Oryzias latipes: one gene and its partners. The protein of the gene in region 1 interacts with the protein of each later gene in a pairwise test. Links are inferred from orthologs where the notes say so. Each region holds a gene or a part of one and is shown on either strand. Other genes may lie near its edges.

Region 1 (3,500 bases):
CAAATTTACCTTCATTCTTCAAATAATCCTTAAAGCGTTTCTGATGAATGAAGCTAAAGATTCATAAATAACAGACCCGTCAGAACGGCGTCGACTTGGATCCGTTTCCAGGAAACAAATGCCGATAAAATCATCACAACCTGCTTGTTTTGACTGTTAACTGCAGTTTTGGGAACGATAGAAGAATTTGATTCAAGGATCTACTTTGGAGGAAAAATGTCTCTGATGTTTGTTTGCTGCCAACAAAGAGGAGAAGAAAAAGGTTAGAAACATCTAAGAACACAAATTAAGTCCATTTTGGGACATTTTCTTTGTGGATGTTTTAAGAGTAAATCGGATAAAAACACAAAAGTGGTTGGGATTTGAAAAGCAGCATAAAAAAGCTCAAGTGATATTTTGGGGAGCAGTGGATTTTCCTCTGCCTTTCCTGCAGAAGGTTTCCCGACAACAACAGGTAGTGGGCCGCTTCCTTCCCTGAAGCGATTGTCTGCTGCTCTGGTGTTGGGAAGTGCGAGCTCCACAGAACTTCCCTCCGCCCGAGGGAACATCTGGAACATGAGAGCCCCCGTCCCGTGGCCACATCTGGAGCCCCCAGACGGAGCTACAGAGAGCCAGTCGTCGTCCTGAGGCCAGCTCTGTTTTCACAACACGGCATTAATGTGCTAATGGAGGGAAACCCGGGGGGACCAAGCTGCGACTTACTTGTCTCTCAGTCAGGTCCAGGTTGACGGCGATCTCGTAGCGCCTTAGTCTGGTTAGGTAGTTGTGGTGGGCGAACTCGGCCTCCAGCTCGCGGATCTGCTCCTTGGTGAAGGCCGTCCGCTCCTTCCTGGGTTTGCCGCTGCCGTCAGACTTGTAGTTCCCGTCCTGGGACTCTGAAAGCAGAAAAGGGTCGAGTTGGTATGGGAGCAGATTTACAGAGCTGGGGGGCAGGTGCAGGACAGTGGGGCAAACTAAAAGCACCGGGGAGAGCGGCCTGTCAGTGTTTCCGAATTCTTTCAGCGGCTGGGCGACAGCAGCACATGCGGCGGCGGCCTGCGGCGAGGCCCCCGGCTGCAGGCGGGCCCTCACTCCCAACAGGGATTTGATTTGAAGAATCTGCAGCTTTCATTTCATTAAACTCACTGGTTGTCAGGAAAATCCTCCTTCAGGAGGCGGAATCGTTTCAAACAACAAAAGTGCACAACTCAGGCTGGAGAGTCGCGGTCCCTCCAGCTCTGCAGAAACGCTTTGTGTTGTGGATATTTCCCACAACTTTCCAAAGAAAACACGTTTGGCTTCCAGAACCTTCCAGTTGTGAGCTGCGGTTTGTCTGCTGGATGAGCTTCAAGTGCAGACGGTGGTGGATGGCAGCAGCAACTGCCGGCTAATTCATCTGCGGTCCGGTTCTGTGCGTTACTCCTGCCGTCGGACCTGCAGCTTCTCTGCTGTCTCTGAGATGCAGTCCTCCTCCTGAGATGTTCCGACACTAGACACGTGACTTCCCGGCCTGCCGCTGGCATTCTGGTGACCTTTGACCTTGACTCCATCTCTGAAACTTCTGCTCTCCCCGATTCCCTCAGACACCACCTCAAAAGACCAAAAAAAAAAAAAAATAAGGAAAATCCGGAGCGTAACGCAGCCGCCGAGCAGGGCTGGAGTTACAACCAGCAGAAGGTTTTTATGGCGCAGCCGCTACACCACAGCAATTAGGTCCCTGCTCCAACTTTCATCTTGCCACAAAAAAAGCCGGAATAATTTGAGAAAAACATAGGAAACCCAGACGGGGCATGCCGTTTGGGGACGTGAGGGAAGCTCTTCACACACGACTCCGAGCTTTTCTCCTGCTTTTTCCAGGACAAACGGCTTTTCTTCTCAGACTTGTTTTTTCAGGCATCGGACACTTTCCTGCTGCTCTTTTACGACGATGCCTCCGCAAAGTAAGACTTCAAGCACCTTTTATTGTTCCACAAAAAAATCTGGTAACTTTTTAAAAGCGCCACCACTCCCTTGACAGCTCCATAAACTTGGCTGAGCTGCCCTCCCTCTGCGAGGCCCGAGCCCCCCCCCCCAAAAAAAGGGGGAAAGAGGGGCAGTTTCCCTGAAACTAAATACCACCGACTCATCCGCTCACGCCGCCGCTTCACGGCAGGAAACACCAACAAACGGGTGAAATGGGTTCAACGTGAAGGGACTTCTCAGGTTCTGCTGCATCTAAATTCAGGTTTCACTCCGGTTTCTGGCCCGGACGGTGAAACCCGATGTGAGCAGGGTCTCGTGCGAAGGGTTCTGATATTTAGACAGCTGCCTGAGTCAGCAGCCCGCTCTGACCATCGGCGTGGGGAGAAGCGCGGCGGTGGGATTCAGAGCCCGTAGAACTGGAAAAGGGATCAGGAAGGCCGACCCATAAACGGGATCGCAACACTCAAAGCGATTGAAGACTAAACACAAAAAAACTGTCATGCCGGCTCCTTCTGACTTTCATCTGGACTTCCTGCAGAATAAATGATGGTATAGGATAGAAACCAGATTACTTCCACTGCTGTCAACAGTTGTGAGTTAACTTCTACTACATTCAGGAACAAAGATCTCAGTCACAAACATTTACGGTGTCAATAAAAAATAAAGTGGTTACAGGAGATCCATGGATTTGTCTTTAAAAAGCCTCTTTGACAGCAGGCACAGTGAAAAGCTTTGATTATACTCTTCTGGATGAAATGTCCAGTGGTTTCAGTCTGGATGCTCACAGAAAATCAGAACCTTTGTAGTGACCAATGAAGGTTGAAAGAATCAAAGAAACGTGTCGTCTGCAAAGCTTCAGGACCACGAAGACCAGCGGAAAAAACATCCCTAAACACCCTGACATGAATCCGCTCCGGTTCTGTCTGCGACTACAGCGGAACCGCTCAGCTGATCCCCACAGAGGTTCTCTGAGCCCAAAGAGACGAAGCTCTGACCCACAAATTCAGGAGTTAAACATTTCTCTTGTTTATTTTTTGGTTGATCACAAAGTAATCTTTATATTTTATCCTAATTATCTTATATACTCATTTTGAGTTGCAAAGAAGAAATTAGTCTGAAGTAGTTTTTAGTTAAAAAAAACAAATTTTTTTTAATGTTTTAATTAAAAATGATTTTTAGCCTGAAATAATTCAGAGTGAACTTTTTGAAAATATAATTTTTATTTATTTAATATCTAATATTTAGTCATCTCTTAAATTTATCCCAAACCTCAGTTCATTATTTTGAAATCTCTCCTTCAGTTGTTTTCAGGTTTTTTTGGGGGCGTTTCCTGTTTACGGTCCGTGACAGGAAGTCATTCCTGGGATGGGGTTTTCGATCACGCCGGCAGTCAGATGAGCCCTCATTGTTATCATGTGGCCGTCTGCTTCACGCTTGCAGCCGGGCGCCGCGTCAGCTGACGGCCCTTTGGAGGTGACGAGTGCAGATGTGGCTCTTGGCTCTGCCTGTTTATTTGAGCAGAACGTGTTTAGCAGACGGACCTGCGGAGAATTCGGCTC
Region 2 (4,224 bases), on another chromosome or scaffold:
ACAATTTCACTAATGCTTGTGCTTTTTAAGTTGATGCTAGATTAAGGTAAGTTTGAAGCAGAAGTTGTTTAATGAATATTTGCATGAATAAGGGGTAAAAAAAAACAATTAAAAATGAAATTATAAAACATACAGAACCATCCTGTCCAATCTGTTTTAGATGGGTTAGTTGACAAGTTTTGACCAATGCCAAGCTTAAAATCTGTTCTTACTGACTTATACTCCAAGAAAACATTTCCTATTGCTTCAACCATGTTACTTCATATTCAGTTAAGATGACTTGTTGCCAGCAAATTAGCTTGTTAACGCTTTCAGTTAATCCTTTAGGTTTTGATGTTGACTGCAACCCAGAAACCAGCAGAGCTCAAACTTTTTTCCACAAAAACTACAAGCACAGAAAAATGACTCGGGTACCTCTGAAGGATCATGAACCCACTGTCCATCCACGAAAAACTTATACTGGTGCTCTCCTTCAGGCAGGTCCAAAATGGCAACAAAGTCATTATGGCTTTGAGGAGGGAAAGAAAAAGCAAACAATATTAAAACGATGACAAAACTTCAAAACACATTCGACACCAGTATAACTGATGTAAAACCAACGGTTTACCTTTTATTCAGTGGAATCTTAGTGTTCCAGTTATTGAAAGAGCCTGCGATATAAACCTCCTTCCCCCCACCACCCCAGCGAATCACTGTGGGACGGGCCTGGGAGGCAGTTTTCACCAGGTCATCCAGATCCGGGGTGAATTCTTTATCTCCTAGCCCCTAACAGCAAACATAAATATTTATAATATGAAAGAAATGAGATTATATAGTGAAGTAGTTGGATTCCTACTTTAGACTCAGGTCCATAGGTGTTGAAGATGTTGGGATCATCTGTGCTGTCCACCATCTTGGTGCTGTGCTCCTGGTCTTTGTGGCTGCCGCTGCTGTCGGAACGATGGGCCTTGTTTCCATGCCGATCTCCAGATACCCTGTCACTTGTGTTACCCATGATGCTTCACTGCTTACTGTGCAAAATATAGGGGGGAGAAACTCTTGAAGTGGGAACTAAACCATTATTTATAACACTTTTATGACAAATGTTCATTCATGTTTGCATTGAGGATATTTATTATTCATATTTATCAGATGCTTTCTATTATTTTCTGCTTTCATAGAGGATTTTTGTCGTCTTTTCAAACAGTTTACAATGTAAGTCTTTTCTGAAAAACTTGTTTTTCACTGAGCAGATTAATGCCAAAAAACAAACTTGAAACTATTCTGTAAACACAGTTTCACTCGGTTTCTTAAGGGCATGTAAATGCATCTGGTGACAGTTTTTCCTCTCCTTATTTTTCCTTTTTCAGTTATTAATTTGAACCAAGTAAAGAGCCAGACTGACTTCAACTCCCTTGCTAAAAAAAAAGTGAACTCTGTAAAGATGATCTGATTTAAGCGAACTCTAGGATAACTTTTGTTTCATATTACTAAGAAATTACAAGAAAGTAATGTTAGGCAAAAATTGCTTAAGTACCAAAGTAAGCTTTTTAAAAAATATTGTATCATAAAACATTGATAAGATTGGTTTAAGTTAACGACATGCAACTATTCTATAATAATCATAGTAAAATGTACTTTTTACTAAAAACCTAAAAGAGAATACAACTTCTAATTGAATTTTGATCACATGATGGTGCTTGTTTTCACAAGCATCACCTTTTACGTCCCCACAGAGACACTGATCCCCCCTCCCCCTACATAGAAATGAGCAGTATAAACCTTTCACACTATAATCAAGTCCATCACTTCAAATTAGTTTACAAGCTAAGATGTCTTAATTTTAAAGGATAAAATAGTAGGAGGTTTCAGTGAACAACATAGATAAACGATCAAATTAAAAAAGAAAAAACTAAAAGCTCAGGGCACAAAAGCTTCTATTTACTACAAAGGCGCAGGTGTTTGCTGAACACTGTAGACTGGTGGGTTCACCGTGACACTGCTGGATTCATGGAACACTGATCAGCCTTGGCTTTAGTCAACAAACAGCAAATCCTATTTCGCTTTATGTCACATTGTGTGACATTCACATATGTCACACTCTGGTTTTACAGAAAATAAACTAAAATTGTGTTACTCGTGAGAGTTAAAGTTATAGCTATAAAAAACATCAAATCATCAGTTGTGATTGTTGTTTTTTTCTTCTTAGAACTAAGGATGATCCAGAGTCATATTTAAAAATAAATCAATCAAAAAACAAAACAGCCTAATGATGTGGAAAACAACGATACGTTTATCTTTAGATTATAAAGAAAATAAAAATATTCACAACAGCTAACCTACCCACGTTTAGAAGGTATTTTTAGCATCATGAACTATCAGTGAACTTCCCTGGACACAGATGGGTCCCTTCGAAAATCTGCTTTAACTACAACCGAATGACTTGCGAATCAATAAAAAGCTTAGTTCGTATGACAAAACACACTATTTGTAACCTACCGTGGTAACTGCGCAGGACGCTTTTGCTGTGCCCGCCTACCTCGCGACTGTCCTGGTGAATATTTTTAGCTGCTGGTCGCTGTTAAAGTCAGCTAGCAGCTAGCTAGCTGTCACTCTGCTTTCGAACCGGGAACTCCTTTCACTGTGTAAATAACAACTAAAACAATTTAACTAATTTGATAGAGTACTTGTTGTTGTTTTTAGTCATTTAAAAGAACCGAAAAGGGTTAGAAGCTCGGCCTATCGCTGCTGAGGCGATGATTTGTGTTGAAGAGCAGCAGGAAAGTCTGTGACACCAGCGAAGATCCTCCCCTTTTTACAACTACGGCGGTCGGTAAAGGAAAAAAAGCAGTCAGCCGCGACAAAAACAACATCCGGTAAACAAACAAACAAAAAAAAAAACATTTTTATGAAATTTTACAAATACTTAAATAAATGTAATTAATTCTTTATTTGGTGTCGTGTCTCTTCTTAATAGTGGTTGTAGTAAAATTATCCAAATAATGTACAATTTAGTCAATGTAATTTTTTTTTACAAATAAAATGAAATGAAATTAAAAGACATTTTTATACTATAAAATGTAACATATAGATGTATCAAGTATACTATTTATTTAATAAAAAAAAGATTTACCCTAATTTGCATAAAAAAATACAAATTATTGTGTTACTTAAGTCATTTAATGACGTTAATGCAATGAGCATAAGTGTTTCTCATTCATTTTAATATGTATTGTTGTCTATGTGTACTCTCGATTCAAAGTGATTAATTATTTAGGGGGGTTGTAATTACTTAATTTAATACACTGTATTTTAGGTAAAACAGCTGAGTTGACATCCCTGGCATTTTTCATTCTATCATAGCTTTTTTTCCATCAAGGTAAACAAAATGATTTAAATGACATTGTGGAAATGATAAGGTGTGATTCCCCCCCCCCTCCCCAGCAATTTGTTACTACAATATCAGCTCACCTATCACATCACAACTGCTTTGGTTGCGGGTGTTTATAAAATGTTTTAAAAAGTTTAAGTTACAACATTAACTGAGAAATTGAATTTTGTTTATTTTTTAGTGAGCGTATTTCTGTCCAGGGCTGTACTGTGGCGGTGAGTGCTCTTAGTTCACAGCGAGAAGGTCCTTGTCCAAATACCAGCTGGGACCTTTCTGTGTGGGTTTTCTCCAGGCACCCTGGCTTCATGCTAAAGTCCGAAAATATGCTTTATAGGTTAATTGGTGAGTCTAAAGTGTCCCTTAGTGTAGCTATGAGTGTGTGGCTCCATTACCGACTGGCAACCAGTCCAGGGTGTACCCCACCTTCGCCCAACAGCTGGGACAGGCTCTGGGGACTCTGTGACCCCGAAAGGGATACAGCAGGTTAAGAACATCAATGGATTTATGTCCAAACACTTTTATTCTGTCACTCATTTTTAAATTTTAACGAAAGACCATATTTCTGATGTTCATTTTTGATATTCATGAATTTATTTGCCTAAATTTTTTACATGCTTTAATATAAAAGAAAAAAAATTGATACATGACAGTATTATCCCCTGATATGTTTTTCATGATGCTATTTTCTTACTTTTATTTTTTAAAAGCCTCCTTTCCTTAAAAGACCAGACAGCCCTGATTGGTCAACATTTGCTGTAAAGCAGTTACTAATTGAGGCGTTTTCAACCTGATTCATATGGGCGAAGAAAAAAAAGGGGAAAAAATACATAAATTGTTTCTTTTAGCATTAAAGC
Region 3 (3,980 bases), on another chromosome or scaffold:
TTTGAATATGAGCTCAAGACTACAGAAGGGACTTCATCGGGATATTCCCCTTTTGAACTAGTTTGAAGGCCTTCTGAATACTAATAATAAGGATTTTCAATACAAATAATACCAAGGGTTCTATTGTTTCTTTGCTACTGTCTAAAATAGAAAAAGATATCATTTTAATTTTAGAAAGAAACTGTTCAAAGGATTATATTGAATTTAAACATGCTCATTTCTGCTAAAAGTGTTTCACAAATGTGAATTCATTTGAAGTGATAAATATGGAAATGTTTCATAAAGGACCAGAAGGATTTTAGATTACCCTTCAGACATGTTCTCATCAGCAGCGTCTCTGTGCTCCTTCGTCATCTTCCTTTTCCAGCACTTCTTCCCCAGCAGTCTGCCTCCTTCACTCTGTCTCTCGTTCTTCATCCAGCCACCAGATCTTCGCTTGGATCCCGAGAGACGGTGTACCTTAGGCGGTCTGTGCCTCTGTTTGCGATCCACCTCTGACACTGTTAGCTTCTGCTGCAGCCTGTAGGTCACCCCGGAAGTCATACGCTTCACCTTCCTCCGCCTCCTGAGTGGCCGTCCTGGATTATTCTCGGTGAAGGAGTCAGACTCTGGCCAAGAGGGCTGCCTCGTCCTAACTGAGCCCCCCACAAGTGATGACCAGTGGTTGGTAGCAGACATGTCGTCAGAGTCACTGCAGTTGGCCACCGATGCAGGAAAAGTGAAGGACGAGTTCTCCCTGAAGTCTTTAGCTTCATCTAAACTGGATTCCGAGGCGTCAATCCAGCATCTTCTGGCAAACAATGGATAAAGGGAGGATTCGTGAAATTTCTTGCGTCCCCTGCGGCGTCGGATCTGTCGCCGATGCTGCAGTGGACTCAGGACCATTTCCTCCCACAGCTCCCCCAGCTTATTCGGCTCTGAGGCCTGTTCCAGAGCTGACACCAGGTCCTGCACCAGCTCATCCATCATAGTGCTGGAAATGACTGACACAGCAAAAGACGGTTAAAATCTGCAGTGACCGCCAAATTAGCATAAACTGTAACATTGTTGTCTGGATTAGATATGGTGTCTATGTTGTCTTTTATGAAAAAACATAATATTTTCAAAAAGGAAGCAAATGCTGAAGAGCCTAGAGCAAAATCATTTTGTATGAAAAGACAAACTAACACTCTATAAAAGACAAGGTCCTCAAAAGTAAAGTAGCTTGTACTTATACAAAAATGACATTTATTATTCCCATGCTTTTTACACATCCGTTCATTTTGACAGCAAATGGGATTTCTAAACACATTTGTGTTGACACTTTTCAATTAAAACAGTCAGCACAAAGAACCGATAATATAGGGTTAGCTAATTGTATATATCGTTAATAATTATATTCTTGGTAACATGAGAGACAAATGAATTTAAGAAAAACATGTAAATTATGTTATTGTGGGAAAAGCTAGAAGTTTTAATCAAATATTATTTACAACAGGAGATAAAAAAGACATTTCTTGGACTACATATATTTACATCATCAGTTATCCCAGTTTATGGGATAAATGGTTACCTTTAGTGTTTATATACATGTGAATACAATCTCATAGCAGGTGAATCAAACAGAGCTTTTTAAATATTTCACCAATGAAAAGCAGCCCTTTAATGTTAGATTCCTGCCTCATGTGAAGACGAGAGGTCATTTGAAGTTCAATTTAAGATATGTTGACTTTCATTTAAATAAAACCATTACAGTGAAATGGAAACAATGTATTAGTTGTCTTTATTGTAAATTAGAACATGTTCTTAATGGCTTACCTGGTTAAATAAAGGTTAAATTAAAAAAAAATGTTTTTTGTTTTGCTAACTGCTCATGCATCACGTGTATCTTTGCACATTGATGCCTTCTGTATCCCTATATTTCCCAGAGCTGATCAAAATTCCATTGCAATTTGCTATTATAATGTCAATAAATGATTCTGATATCGTCATCATTCATAATGATCACAAATATCGCACATAGTGAGTTTTTCTCGTATGCAGCCCGAGAGCTAAGCCAACATAGCAGCTCCTGTCTGTATTATGTTTCTCCATTCTTTTGATGGTATGATGATCTCATCTGCTGTCATTTAAAGCAGCTTTCTTAGCAGAAAATGAATATAAACGACAAGTATTTGTCCTAATCTAAAATGCTAAGCTAAGCAAACCAACATGGCTATAAATTATAGATTATCTTATTTTCTCTAGTATGTTTACTTGTGTTAAAATTTAAAAGAAGAATGTAAACGTGAAAAGACATAAGACATATTTGTAATGACAGGTTTACTACTAGCACGGATGAGCAATGATCACTGCTGTTGTCCTTGAGAACGTTTGTTTATCATCAGGAAAAGCGAAACCATCGCGTTGTCTTTCTAATTAGCTAAGAAAAACTGCTGGGAATCTGTGCGGCATGACTGCAGCAAAAACAACAGCACAGCAGCAGGTTGTAGTATCTATCTGCATGGTGATGGTCCCTCACTGCTGCTGTCTGTTACATAACAGCTCACACACATGACATCAGCAACAAGGACACCTCACTGCTCTACGCCCTCAATGTCAGCAAAGCTAGCCGTTTGTTCGCCCGCCGACCGGTCTCACGCATACAGCTCACGCAGCCGCTCCGACAACGAACCGCGAGCAATAAAAGGAGTTCACGGTATTGTGATACTCACCTGTCTCTGCTCGTGTTGTTTTGTTGTCAGCCCTCTGGTGGGGCGTACACGCACTTCCGCCCTGCACTACAGCCAATCAGCAGATTCTACGTCACCGTGACGTACAGCTGCGACAGCAGACAGCGCGTGCAGACAGGAAGCCTCAAGCTGACAAGAAAATGATTTGTTGCTGTTATTTTACAAAAAAATTGTTAAATCTTTCTGAAACTAATGTCTTCACGTTTTTTTAAAATAAATTTACCAAGTAGTTTTCTTTCTTCTTGTTTTTTTTGTCAGAACACAATATGTTTTTCTTTTATTTTATACGTTTATTGGTGTGAATTAAAGCTTCCAGGTTTTTATATGGGAAATCCTTTTTGTTGTTTTTTTTCACCATGTTTTGCCCTCTTACTATTTTCATATCTTACTTTTAGCTTCTTTTATTTAAGGAGAGTAAGATCATTAAAACGATTGTAACATTATATAGGCTGCTACAGATATTCAGAAACACTAAATGCAGCTTGAGATTGTAGGTTTCAAGGGACAATGAAACTTAAACAATGATGGACAAAATGACAATAAAAATAATGCTAAAAGCTTTACTACCTCAGAATGAGGCAGATTTCCAATCTTTTTGTCTTATGCACCTCATGAGCGATATTTGTCACAATTCACTCATGTGTTGACAATTCTTTTGGATCAAACCAAGTTATCTGAAAAATATACAAATATCCCTTGTGCTATCCTAGGCACTTTGCCATTGGGAGTTGGGTCATGTAGACCCACTAGACAGTGCGCTGAACCTTTTTTCTTCAATGATTTGTGATCTTCACTGTTGTCCATGGATTACATGAAATCTTTCCACCTTTATCCACCTTTGTCATGGTAGGAATTACACGTCAAAGTAAGGGTGGGGTCATCTAAGATAGCACAAGGGTTAAACGAACTATTTGAATTGCAAAATAAATGTAAAGTACCTGTTCAGTGTTCTGTGTTGGTCTTTTTCTTCTGGCTAAAGCTTCAAAAATACATTTCTTGGAGAATATGGGAGCCAAAGGTGATCTGGTAGTATACTGATTCTTTTAATTTTGTCTCCTCTGAACATCCAGTTTTTTCCAATTTGCCCTCCATCTTTAAGCCCGTTTATTTGCTGAATATCCAGTCTCGAATGATTAGGCTGCTTACATTGTTTGTTCATTTTCAGTGTTAAGCCTAACATTGAAAACTTATAAAGTAATAATAAAAAAAAGACAACAGAAATATGACAAAAATCCTAATATGGACAGGATTATTTATACCATCTGCAAT
Region 4 (3,500 bases), on another chromosome or scaffold:
CAGGGGGAAATATAATCAAACTGGCCTGGTAATTGGTCACAAGCGCCTCAAAGGGGGCCTTTGTTTTTCAATGACACAAAAAAGGCTTTGGTTTGAAAGCTGGGGGGTTGGTGTCAATTAAGGAGGGCACCCACACAAGAAAGAAGTCCCAGCGATCATCATCGGCGTCGATGAAGCTGGCGGTCTCAATGAACCACATGAGGAAGGTCTGCAGGCGCTCGTGGTACTCTCGGAATCCGGGGCAGCTGATCTCCACCTGGGATGGACCCGGGGGGAAAAAGAAAATCATCATTTTAGTGATCCAAATGGACGTCAAATACCAGCTCCGATAACGTGTTGAGCCATTTTTAAAGGGTTCCCAGTGGTCTTTTCATTTCGATTATGCCGTTTTTTAGCGTTGTTGTGGGCACGACTGTGGACGCAGAGCAACCCCGCCCCCCTTCCATTCTCTGTTGCAAAGCAGAGGGAGAGCAGGGAGCTTAATATCACAACTACGGCCTTTTTCAAACAACTCTGATCCTGATTCGCAACTAAATGCACGTTGGAGCTTTATTTCCTTTATACATCATTCAAAACCCGCCACGAGAACATGTTAAAAACAAAGAATTTCGTCGGAGTGGGTCTTCAAACTGAAACTGAGGTGAAGGTACCTTGTGAATCTGGTATGTGAACTCTCCCGCCTCCTCGTTGTGGACCGTGTATGAGTGAAGAAGGGTGCCAAAGGGCTTGAAGTTGGCCTCCTTTTCCAGCAGCGAGGTGAAGTCATCCGTGTTCGAGGTGAACCCGGCGGGAATTATTTCCCGGATCTTCCCCTCCACATCATCGGGCTGAAGAACACAACAGTTCATCAGACCAGACGGACTGGAAAACTTTCTGGTCGCACTTTGGTCACGTTTCTGCTAAACCAGCAAGTGTGTGTTTAGTTTTTTTGGAAAGAAAACAGGCAATTACAAGTGTCAGCTGAGCAGAGCCCACCCCCGCCCCTCGCCCCCTTTACCAGCCCACTTCAATCCATACATTTACTACTTATGCTAAACCATGAATACCTGATGAAGTTGCCACAATAAATGCATTTCCCCCCTCCCTCCTAATAGTAGATGAAATCTTATGACTTGATCCCCAACTTAACAAACCTTTAGGGCCATGCATTATAGAGGCCTCTCCTCTAATCCTGCCAAGTGAACCCAATCAAATGAATTTGCCCGTCGGTTTTTCAAAGAGCCCGAGAGACAAAAGCGTCCGTCCCTCAGACTTTTTACTCAGTGCAATGTGTGGTTAGTTCAGCTGTAATGTTTGCATTGTATCCATTTCCACTAGGATTGACATGAGAACACTTTGCTGAGCAGCCCTTTCACACCATTTACATGTGTGATGGGCTTTATGGCTGCACACAGACCCTTGCTGTTCGGCATTAAAAACTGGGACATGAAGAAGGTCGGAGCAAAATGCACTACAAAAGGCTAATACAACATCCTGCTAATTCCCCTCCTTTCAGACATCAGCTAATATCTAACTGGAAGTAATGCACCTGCAGCTGAATACCTCTTAACCATTGTAATTGTTCAGCCAGATTTCTCGGGAACTAGGACCACACTTAAAAGGCCATTGACAAACAAATCGCTTTGTCTCGGCCACTCTCCTACATACTAGACACTAAATTGCACAGCCATCCAGAATAGATGCCTTGGTTCGGAGTGAATAAAACCAAACAATGTTCTTTTAGAGCAGTTTGTTAATGTCTTTGATTTCTGACAATAGCCACAAAAGGAGTACAAACTATCTAATTTGCTGTATTAGTGTTATTCCATCTCTTTAATCTACTGTTCAGAGAAAACCTGCAATAATTCCATTTCTCAAAGTTTACTTGTTTAAACAGCTAATTCATATCATTTATAAAAAATGTCTAGATTGTTTTGAGTTTTAAGCCAATTTGCACAAAGGAAACTTTGGCGTTAATCGGGATCTCTGGGTCACTTCCAGCAGCGTGCTGCTTTTAGCTTGGTTTTTTTTTTTAAAGGGGAGAAGGTGAGTTCTGATCAGTCTTTTATCAATGCGGCAGCTGCATCAATTCCATCTCTGCCGCTCCCCTCGTCCCTCGCCAGCTGCACCGCACCCCGACCGTCCACACGCACTCAGAGACAAACCCTCTTCAGATGCAGCCTGAACTCTGCTGCTCCCCATCGCTCTCTGTCTCCACGCCAGCTGCACTCAAACCCTTAACAAGGTGAACCGACTCTTAGGGGTCAACGCTCAACTCCAAGCAGTGGCACATCACATTTTAGCTTCATCTCCAGCGACTGGAACGGCTCTTTTATTTGTAAAAGAAAAAAACCCCTGAAGTTTGTTACTTTATCAGCTTAAAATTCAACAGCATTCCACACGCTTCCTCTCAGTTCTCACAGCTCGGACCAGGACAGTCAGGACAGATGTCCTCGAGTTGAATCATTTGACCTCAAGCCTGGGCTAATTGCTGCTTCTGCATTAGCATGTTTGTTGCATCGCATTCAAAAGGTGCCAGTGGTCTTTTGTAACGTCTCAAAGAAGCAGAAAGCAGGACAAGCATTCCCCTTTAGAGCCTGCTTTTGTCCAAATATGAGCCCTTGATATGTAAATAAGAGAGTGGGCCAAAGGGACAAAAAAGTATGAAGTTTTACAAAGAGAGCAGAGCTGCTCCTCCAGGATCATTAAAACTATCAACCAAGTCTGTTTATTTATGTTTGCAATGCTATTTTTTTTTGTACAACCTGCACAGCCAGTGCATCACAAACACGTCCATTTCATGTTGGTCATTGGTCCATTTTGTTTTATCACATTTTCAGTTTGTACACATTTTTTTTCTTTTAATCAGCACATATTTACCACTATGATGCGGAAAAGCTTCATATTTGGTAAAAAAAAATGGCAGAATGATCCATGACAGGTCAACTGTCCGTTGTGAGAAGTGACAACATAAGAGGAAGAAAGCCAACTGACTCAAAAACACCTCTGGATTTCATCATTTGTTAAAATAAAATTCCTAATCAGTAAAGTTTCTCGTATTTGCAAACAATTCAGCAATCTACAGTCTGTCTGGTATAATAATGGTTTTTCATATAGTAATTACATGATTTATATTCCAGCAATGCACTTACTGTTGTGTAGGACAAATCCATATTATGTTATTACTGTGGGATAATAAAACCTAGTTCTACACAACAGATTAACTTGAGAACAGTTTCTAATTGGTTTCATTGACGTTTATCATATTTCAGAACTTCTTCTTAGCATTGTGTGTGTTATTGATACTTCCAAAGTATCAGCAAACTGGCTGAATGTAAAATGCAACTGAGCCCGTCATTGGTGGGGTTCTTTTTGGTGGTTTTTATAAATTAAAAAATATCTGTAGGAGCCATTTGTTATATGATGAATCTTGACCATTCTGATTTATTTGTTGCGTAACATTGCCTAGTATACGTTTATCTTAGAACTGTGTTAAGTTCTGGATCTATAAATTGTGTTTA
Region 5 (3,500 bases), on another chromosome or scaffold:
CAGCATCACACAGTTGCAGCAGATTTGTCGGCTGCACATCCATGATGCCAATCTCTCGTTCCACCACATCCCAAAGGTTCTCTGTTGGGTTGAGATCTGGTGACTGTGGAGGTCATTTGAGTCCAGTGAACTCATTATCATGTTCAAGAAACCAGTCTGAGATGATTCCAGCTTTATGACATAGTGGCTTATCCTGCTAGAAGTAGACATCAGAAGATGGTACACTGTGGTTAGTTTCTGGTCAGCAGCAATACTCAGGTAGGCTATGGCGTTGTAATCATGCCCAATTAGTAGTACTAAGAGACCCAAAGTGTGACTAGAATATATCCACCACACTATTACACAACCACAACCAGCTTGAACCGTTGATACAAGGCGGGATGGATTCCTGTTTTCATGTTGTTGACGCCAAATTCTGACCCTACCATCTGAATGTTGCAGCAGAAATGGAGACTCATCAGCGTCTTTCCATCTTCTATTGTCCAGTTTTGGTGAGTCTGTGTGAATTGTAGCCTCAGTTTTCCTGTTCTTAGCTGACAGAAGTGGCACCTTGTGTAGTCTTCAGCTGCTGTAGTCCATCTGCCTTCTGCAGACCTCAGTTGGAACCAGTCTAGTCATTCTCCTCTGACCTCTGGGATCAACAAGGTATTTCTGCCCCCAAACTGCCGCTCAATGGGCATTTTTTCTTTTCCGGAGCATTCTCTGTAAACCCTAGAGATGGTTGTGGGTGAAAATCCCAGTAGATCAGAAGCTTCTCAGGATTGAGCTGAGCAGGGAGCTTGAGGCCCACTCAGTGCATTTTCTACATCACAAACAAGTTCTTTAGCTAATAGTATTTTTCCTTCTGCTCCTGATTTATCACTCAACTGTTCACGCAATTAACTTTATTCTATTTCTGAAAGCAACTTTTCACCAATATGCAACACTTTATGTTAGTTAAGTGATTTATATTAATTAAGGAAGTGGTTGAAGAATTAAAGGGTTAAACATCCCACCCACAAACTAACACACAAATGTTGATTCATTTAAACCCAAGGTGATATATTTTAAGGACAGCGGAGAGACAACGTTACACCCTCCGCTGTGAGGGTGTAACGCGTCGCGCTGTACCGCAGAGGAGAAATGGATTTCATTCATGTGGGTGTGCTCTTATACACAGACCTTCACCTTTAAGTACCGTAATCACTTTTTGTTTAAGCATGGCTTTTTCAAGTGAAAACTGGTGTTATGCATTTTCCCAGTGCTGGCTGCTACTCGCCAACAAGGATGGCCGGTGACTATTGTCGATGTCATAGAGTGAGAGTGACGAAGAATTTGAGGACACTATTTTTCTATATTTCTCTGTTTGGAGGGCTAAATGCAGGGGTGGGGAGACGCCGTAGGGGTAGGGTATGAATTCAGATACGGCTTAAAAAATTGTGATATGTGAAAAAAAAAAATCTCACAATTTTACCCTTTAAAACATCGGAGCTGTGGCTCCAGCATTTACAGTCTTTCGACTCCCGAAGCTCTTCAACTGTTCATGTAATTAACTCAAGTCCAATGAATTCTGAAGCAGAGAAAAGCAGTCAGTGTATCAGAGCGTCATGATGAGACACTTTGTTGATATTTTGTTGCAAATACAATTTTTTTTTTTGGCCGGTGGTTTAATTAACGGGAAGACCCAATAGAGTAGCAAAATGTTTTCTCCCACCCATTTTTTTCCTAAATGTTTGGAACTTTGCTGAGGTGCCGTCCTGTCCCACTTCACTCTTTATTTATGCAATGTAGAATCCTGTAGTGGACATCATAGATGACTCGTTCAGTGAATGTTTAATGCATATTAAGGTGTTCTTGGGTTATTTTTCTTTTGGATTCAAAGTTTTAGGTAAAAAAGTCCATATATGGATCTTCTGAGGTCCTCGGAACACTAAGCACCATATTTTCATGGCTATAAGGCGCACTTAAAAGTCTTAAATTTTCTCCAAACTGTAAGGAGCGCCCTATGAGGCGGTGCGCCTAATGTGTAGTTGTGGGACTATGGCATAGGAGCAGTAGAAGACGGCATAAGAACCAACTCAGTTTTTCTCCCGCTGCTTTTCTTCCACAATGAGTGTATATGGTTGCTTGCTGAAATGTGTGTGTGCTTAGTTCCCGCGTGCCGCGCTCCAGTGTTTGCAAAAGGGGGGGGCAGGCATTCAGCAAAGTGAGGGTGTGAGCGCGCATTCAGTTTGTGTTACTCAGAACAGTAACTAAAAAAGGTCTTCCTTCAAAAAAAAAAAAAAAAAAAAAACAGAGACTGGTTCTATTATGAACCCGCTCTGGAGGCTTTGAGGGTCCAAACGGGGAAGTGAACCCCCGAAGGAAGATCCGCTATAGACCCTGAGAGGATCTCCCCCGCGGTCAGAAACGTCATCGCGGGAATAGTTCAACACTAGAGTGCATGTTTTACCGGTATGCTGTGTTAACGTGCCCACGCCTAAACACCCGGTGCGCCTTTTGCATGTGTCAAATACCCAAAAATTACCTATAACTGAGAACGCACCCTGTAACCCGGTGCGCCCTATAGTCGTGAAAATATGGTATATCCCTCAGAGGTTTGTGTTTGTCAAAATATATTTCTTTTTTTTAACATTGTGTTGTATCTTCACAGACCTTTTCCCACTGCTGCCAGAGTCGCTCGAGGTTGACGATGACCTTAAAGGAGAGCCCTCCTTCTTCTTCTCCTTCTTCTCCGATTTCCCTTCTGAACCATCTATGACATACGACACAAACCACCCACACAGACATGACAAACAGACAATGCAGCGTTTCTTTCATGGCTTTTCTGTCCATATCTGCCTTTAGACCTGAAGAAGTGTCCCCTGCAACCTCAACATGAGCTTTTTTCTCAGATCTTCACAAATTCAGTCTAATCTAAAAAAGGACAGATGAACGCACATAAACACACACACCTACCCAGCAGTCTTTTCCAGGATTTGATCAGAGATTTGGCCAGAGTCTGCACCTCTTCATCAGAGCTCTGCTTCCTCACTGCGTTCACCGACATCCCAACTCTGGTCGACTACAAGCCAGGAGCAAAAAAAAAACAATCAAAAACTTAGTCTTAGGGCTGGGGCGGCGCTCTCTTTCCCCCCGTGCCTCCCTGCTCTCTGGCTCTGGGGGCCTCACTGCGGTCCTGCTGGTCCTGGCCTGGGTGGCGGATTTGGTCGCCCGGGGGGCGGTTGTCCCCTGCCTGCTGCCGTGTGGCGTTGGGGGGTTCCGGCTGCCGCTGCTGCTGCGGCGGGGGTCCTGGTCTGGGGATGGCTGGGCGCTCTCCTTCCTTCTTTATACATTCCACCATCCATTTTAGAAGAACATAAACACTCACCTGAGCACAGGTGTTAGCTCACCTTTGCACTAATAGTTTGCATGATTGAATGACTGAAATATTTCACACTAGTTGGTGTTAAGGCATAAGTATGCGTGTGTGAACACTATCTGTTTTGTGTACATGTTGACAGGTGGACATTTTTGCAGCT
Region 6 (4,136 bases), on another chromosome or scaffold:
AAGAAAAAAGCAAAAAGTAGTACACTTGAAGTATTTTTTGTTAAGTATGCATGAATGTAAGTATATCAAGCATATTATAGATCAGAGGTCTGCAACATCTAAAGTGAAAAGTGTAACTTGGGTCTACATCTTAACACCTAAAAACATGCAAGAGTTGCAAAATTCCACTTCACTATTAAGAATAAATTATATTTTTGTGACAATCAGGCCACTCATTCATAAAACGGCATAACGGCTGCACAGCTTTAAAATGTTTTCAATATTTGCAGTACAGCTGTTTAATAAATATATAGCAATAAAAATGATATATTTTTCTATTTATAACAATTTTAAATCTTTTTACTTTTGAAAGTTAAACAAAAAGTTCCTTTCAAAATAAAATGCATCCTATGTCAAATAAGACAGGGCTAAAGTTGCAAGAATGCCAAGTCAAACGTGACATTTACCATCAAATGACTTCGGTGCACTGTCATCCTTTTTCCATTTCCTTACTATCCAAAATAAGCATGACAAGATTGGTGCAGAATACTGGTATTTTTTTTTAGATCCAAAGGCTACTGCAACCAGGAGCTTTGCCTCTGAACATCAACCAGACACTTTGTACAGCCAAAGATAGTAATATGTGCTTTATATGCATCCATATCATCTTGCTCAGTTATCTGACATGTTAAAAATCGAAACATAAATAAAAACCTAACGAAAATAAATGTACCTAAACAAACACCCTACTGTGCATTTTTCTTCAAAACCAAAAAGTCATGATGAAGGGACAAAAGAGTTGCATGTGGCTCCAGAGCCACAGGTTGTGGACTGTTGCAGACCATGTAAGTGTAGAGTAGGAAGTATACTGACTGAATACTTTTTAAGACTAAATTGTTACATTTAAAGTTTACAATATATGCTAAAGGTAGTAAATAAAAAATAAATGTCAATTATAGTGTCTCAATTTCAGCATTCACCAGGCCCAAGAATACTTGTAGTAAACTTAAATAGTATGTTTTGCTAAGGGGAATATTACTGCACACATGCAATACCATGCAAATGACAATTTAAAAAATGTTTAGAGTGTGCATATTCATATTCTCTACAGGTGTACTAAGATTTGAGCATAAAAAATGCAATGCCACTATGATTTTACAACATAATTGGTGTGTAGGGTGAATACACATTAAGGAGCTTCTTAAAAATGAAAGGGTACAAAATGTAATGTTATCATATTTTTTCAAGTGTTACATCATGTACTTTTGTAAATATTTAAAAAGGTTTTCAGGGATTTCGCAGTGTTTTTTGACATCTTTGAACCCTAGATGGAACGAATGTTTCCCGCCGCTGAGTTTCCCTCCGGTGGGGTTTTGTCTGCCCACCGGCAGCGGATTTTTGTTTTGCACCTTCGTTAGCTGTCAAACCTCTTTTTTAAATTAAAAGTAATAATGATAAAATAAAAGATCTGATAAACAGTTTAAAATCTGGATGTGGAAGGTAAAATTTATTGTATTTATTTCCAATTCAGCAGTACGTCAATACGTGTTTTCATTTTGAATAATTTACGGTAACGGTGTAATTTAATTTTAAATATCCTGGGAGTATGGAACTCAAAAGGTGTTCTGTGTTTTTGCAGACTAATTAAATTACCTTAAAGCAACAATGCTTTGTTTTGTAACGTGGGTACCTTTTAAGATTGAATCTAGAAATGGTATAAACCATAGTTACAACATTCTATTGAAAGGAGCAATTATATACATTATATATGCTAAAATAAAAAAGATCACGTGTTAAAATCTATTTTGTGGGATTTTCTACAATCTGAGAGAACCTCGGGGTCAAAGTATTCCATAAAACCATTTTTTTTTCAGCTTAGTCAAGTCAGTACTATTTCCACAGCCATGTTTGTGTCTGTGTAGAAAGGAATCAGGTGCTCAGAGTTTGCCTGTTGGCACCTTTGCAGGAACTGATGGAGTCATGCAGAGGCAGCATTCCAGAGAGCCTGCTGCAATCTTGTCATTCTGCCTGAGTCTCATGCACGGTTCTGGCTCACTGTAGCCTCACCTGTGTGCTTTGTTTGCCAGTTTGCAGGCTGTTGAAGATGAAATAAACAAGCATCCTCTGTGAGGATGTGCTGATAGGAGGCAGATTTTTTGCACTGATTGCCCATAAGTGATCCCATTCCAGCCTCTGAACCATTGTGAATGTATATTTAACATTTTCTTGTGTTCTTTTACCTGTGTTCAGAACAGAAAGACACTCTTCTGATCGATGTCGTCTCTTGGGTCAAAAATCCTCTCCACTCTGCCGGCTGATGAGGAACAGTTCCCTCTGCAGTTCAGCGACAAAGTAGACCCAAGCGTGGTGGAAGTACTGAGGCGCTGTCGGAAGCAGTTGTACGGTAACGCGACGTGCGCCAGCCAGGGGCTCAACGCCCAGATCATTCTAGACATTTCATGGGAAAGATTGAACACAGGGACGTGGCGCCACGTGGACAAGGAATGGAGACGGGTTTACTCGTATGGCTGCCTCTTCAAAGTGGCCGCACTGTGCCGAGAAAATCCATCACAACAGGAGATCCTGGAGGCCGTCAGGACTTGTGACATGGGTTTACTGATGGGTGCGGCCATCATGGATGACATACTCCAGGTTCTTGTTCGAATTCTGCAAAATGAAATAAGCGAAACCAGTAAAGACGAGGAGAAAAGTGTAGAAGTTGTTGCTAAGGTTTGTTATGATTTTCGACACAAAATTACTAAATGTTTTTGTCATTTTGCTCCATCGCTGGTTTTTATTTTTCGCACATGCTAATCCTTTTCATTTCTGGTGGCATTTCATGAAAAAATTGATGCATAAAACATTTTTTTCTATTCCTTTTGCACTTGCCTTTCTCAGACCCGACATGGCTGAGTTTTTTAAATTCACACTTGATAAATGCTCTTTCAAAACTAGCTGAAACATTCAAGGTTGCTGCGAAGAGCTGCACAAAGTTCAAGGATTTTTGGTTATTTCTTCCTCCTGCTGCTTGTTTTTTTTTTAAGCTTGTTTTTTTTTTTATGTTAAGAGGGAGAAAATAACCTTTTACACAGTCCAAACCACATTTCATTGACATGCACGTCTTTTTGTTCTGTCACGAACAGAAATTAAAGACTGAGGGCCCCCGCAGTCCTTCAATCAGAGAAGAGAAGGCAGTGCCCAGGATCAAGTGTCCTTCCCTGGAAAGCTTCAGCACAAACTACCTGCTTCCCCTCAAACCGGTGATTTTAGAAGGAATCATTGACCACTGGCCCGCTCTCAACAACCACCCCTGGAGGTTTGTTTTATTCTCAGGAAACACTAAACTATGGCTGTCAACAGGGGGAAAAAATCATATTTGACTTGTGTTTCCCATTTTTTTTTTTTATTTTGATAGTTTGTAAAACTAACAAGTCAAAAATGTCTTGTTTTTGAAACAACACAGTCTTTCTAATGTTTAGAGTTCTCTGATGCTGCTGAGATGACTGAAACACGCAGAGGAGCATGAGAGTCCTTCATGCTGTGTACAAACATTTACAGGTTTAAGAAACCATAAATAAAAGTTGACATAGTGATGCTGTTTAAACAAAAACGTTTTTTCCCCTGTATTTTATGTTTTAATTTTCAAGAACACATTTTCATCTTTTAAAACAACGCCCTCCAATCATTCTGCAAGCTTTATTAATTTTTTTAAAAATAAACTTGACATCATTTTTGCAAGGATGTCGACCTGATTTATTCAAAGCAGCTTTCTAACTACTTCTTGTGGTTCGATTCTGTCAACCAGCATGACAAAATCCCAGAAAGAAACTTGTAGGTAATAAAAAGCATTAAAAAACAAACAAACTCCATAGGAAAAAACCTTATGAAACCCCAAGGATGGAAATATTCCCCCCAAAAAAGTACAAATGTGCTCAACTACAAGCTAGTAAACCGATTAGGTCTGGTTTAAAACAATAGATTCAAAAAATTCCTGTATTATTTCAGGGACAAACACTGAAATTGAAGGAAAGTAGCAATGGCAGCTATAAAATAAAAGCATGGGGTGGGATTCCCCTGAAGTGTCCTGTGACACTTCAGAAGTGAGAAGTGGGACAAATATTAGAGTTCTGTTCTGCAGAAACAACAGAGTAAAGGAT

Evidence for each region.
Region 2: the proteins of meox2 (region 1) and 5'-AMP-activated protein kinase subunit beta-2 interact in binary tests that used the Homo sapiens proteins (3 or more experiments, as listed by UniProt). The link is inferred for Oryzias latipes from reciprocal best matches to the Homo sapiens genes MEOX2 and PRKAB2.
Region 3: the proteins of meox2 (region 1) and gpatch2l interact in binary tests that used the Homo sapiens proteins (3 or more experiments, as listed by UniProt). The two-hybrid records come from large-scale screens. The link is inferred for Oryzias latipes from reciprocal best matches to the Homo sapiens genes MEOX2 and GPATCH2L.
Region 4: the proteins of meox2 (region 1) and hat1 interact in binary tests that used the Homo sapiens proteins (3 or more experiments, as listed by UniProt). The two-hybrid records come from large-scale screens. The link is inferred for Oryzias latipes from reciprocal best matches to the Homo sapiens genes MEOX2 and HAT1.
Region 5: the proteins of meox2 (region 1) and transcription elongation factor A protein 2 interact in binary tests that used the Homo sapiens proteins (3 or more experiments, as listed by UniProt). The two-hybrid records come from large-scale screens. The link is inferred for Oryzias latipes from reciprocal best matches to the Homo sapiens genes MEOX2 and TCEA2.
Region 6: the proteins of meox2 (region 1) and kdm8 interact in a two-hybrid assay, tested with the Homo sapiens proteins (2 studies listed by BioGRID). The two-hybrid records come from large-scale screens. The link is inferred for Oryzias latipes from reciprocal best matches to the Homo sapiens genes MEOX2 and KDM8.

Annotation. Positions count from the first base shown.
Region 1 is NC_019874.2:31,200,353-31,203,852, forward strand, and holds part of meox2 (homeobox protein MOX-2), read right to left. Parts: intron 876-3,500; coding exon 703-875; intron 1-702. UniProt on the Homo sapiens protein: Mesodermal transcription factor that plays a key role in somitogenesis and somitogenesis and limb muscle differentiation. Required during limb development for normal appendicular muscle formation and for the normal regulation of myogenic genes.
Region 2 is NC_019875.2:22,987,785-22,992,008, forward strand, and holds the start of 5'-AMP-activated protein kinase subunit beta-2, read right to left. Parts: upstream 2,801-4,224; 5' UTR 2,479-2,800; intron 1,011-2,478; 5' UTR 995-1,010; coding exon 836-994; intron 766-835; coding exon 608-765; intron 509-607; coding exon 415-508; intron 1-414. UniProt on the Homo sapiens protein: Non-catalytic subunit of AMP-activated protein kinase (AMPK), an energy sensor protein kinase that plays a key role in regulating cellular energy metabolism.
Region 3 is NC_019880.2:13,367,053-13,371,032, reverse strand, and holds the start of gpatch2l (G patch domain-containing protein 2-like), read right to left. Parts: upstream 2,801-3,980; 5' UTR 2,694-2,800; intron 984-2,693; 5' UTR 970-983; coding exon 308-969; intron 1-307.
Region 4 is NC_019879.2:21,992,579-21,996,078, reverse strand, and holds part of hat1 (histone acetyltransferase type B catalytic subunit), read right to left. Parts: intron 828-3,500; coding exon 651-827; intron 257-650; coding exon 135-256; intron 1-134. UniProt on the Homo sapiens protein: Histone acetyltransferase that plays a role in different biological processes including cell cycle progression, glucose metabolism, histone production or DNA damage repair. Coordinates histone production and acetylation via H4 promoter binding.
Region 5 is NC_019865.2:27,292,963-27,296,462, reverse strand, and holds part of transcription elongation factor A protein 2, read right to left. Parts: intron 3,044-3,500; coding exon 2,938-3,043; intron 2,735-2,937; coding exon 2,635-2,734; intron 1-2,634. UniProt on the Homo sapiens protein: Necessary for efficient RNA polymerase II transcription elongation past template-encoded arresting sites.
Region 6 is NC_019866.2:7,579,115-7,583,250, reverse strand, and holds the start of kdm8 (jmjC domain-containing protein 5), read left to right. Parts: upstream 1-1,336; 5' UTR 1,337-1,479; intron 1,480-2,229; 5' UTR 2,230-2,253; coding exon 2,254-2,709; intron 2,710-3,122; coding exon 3,123-3,295; intron 3,296-4,136. UniProt on the Homo sapiens protein: Bifunctional enzyme that acts both as an endopeptidase and 2-oxoglutarate-dependent monooxygenase.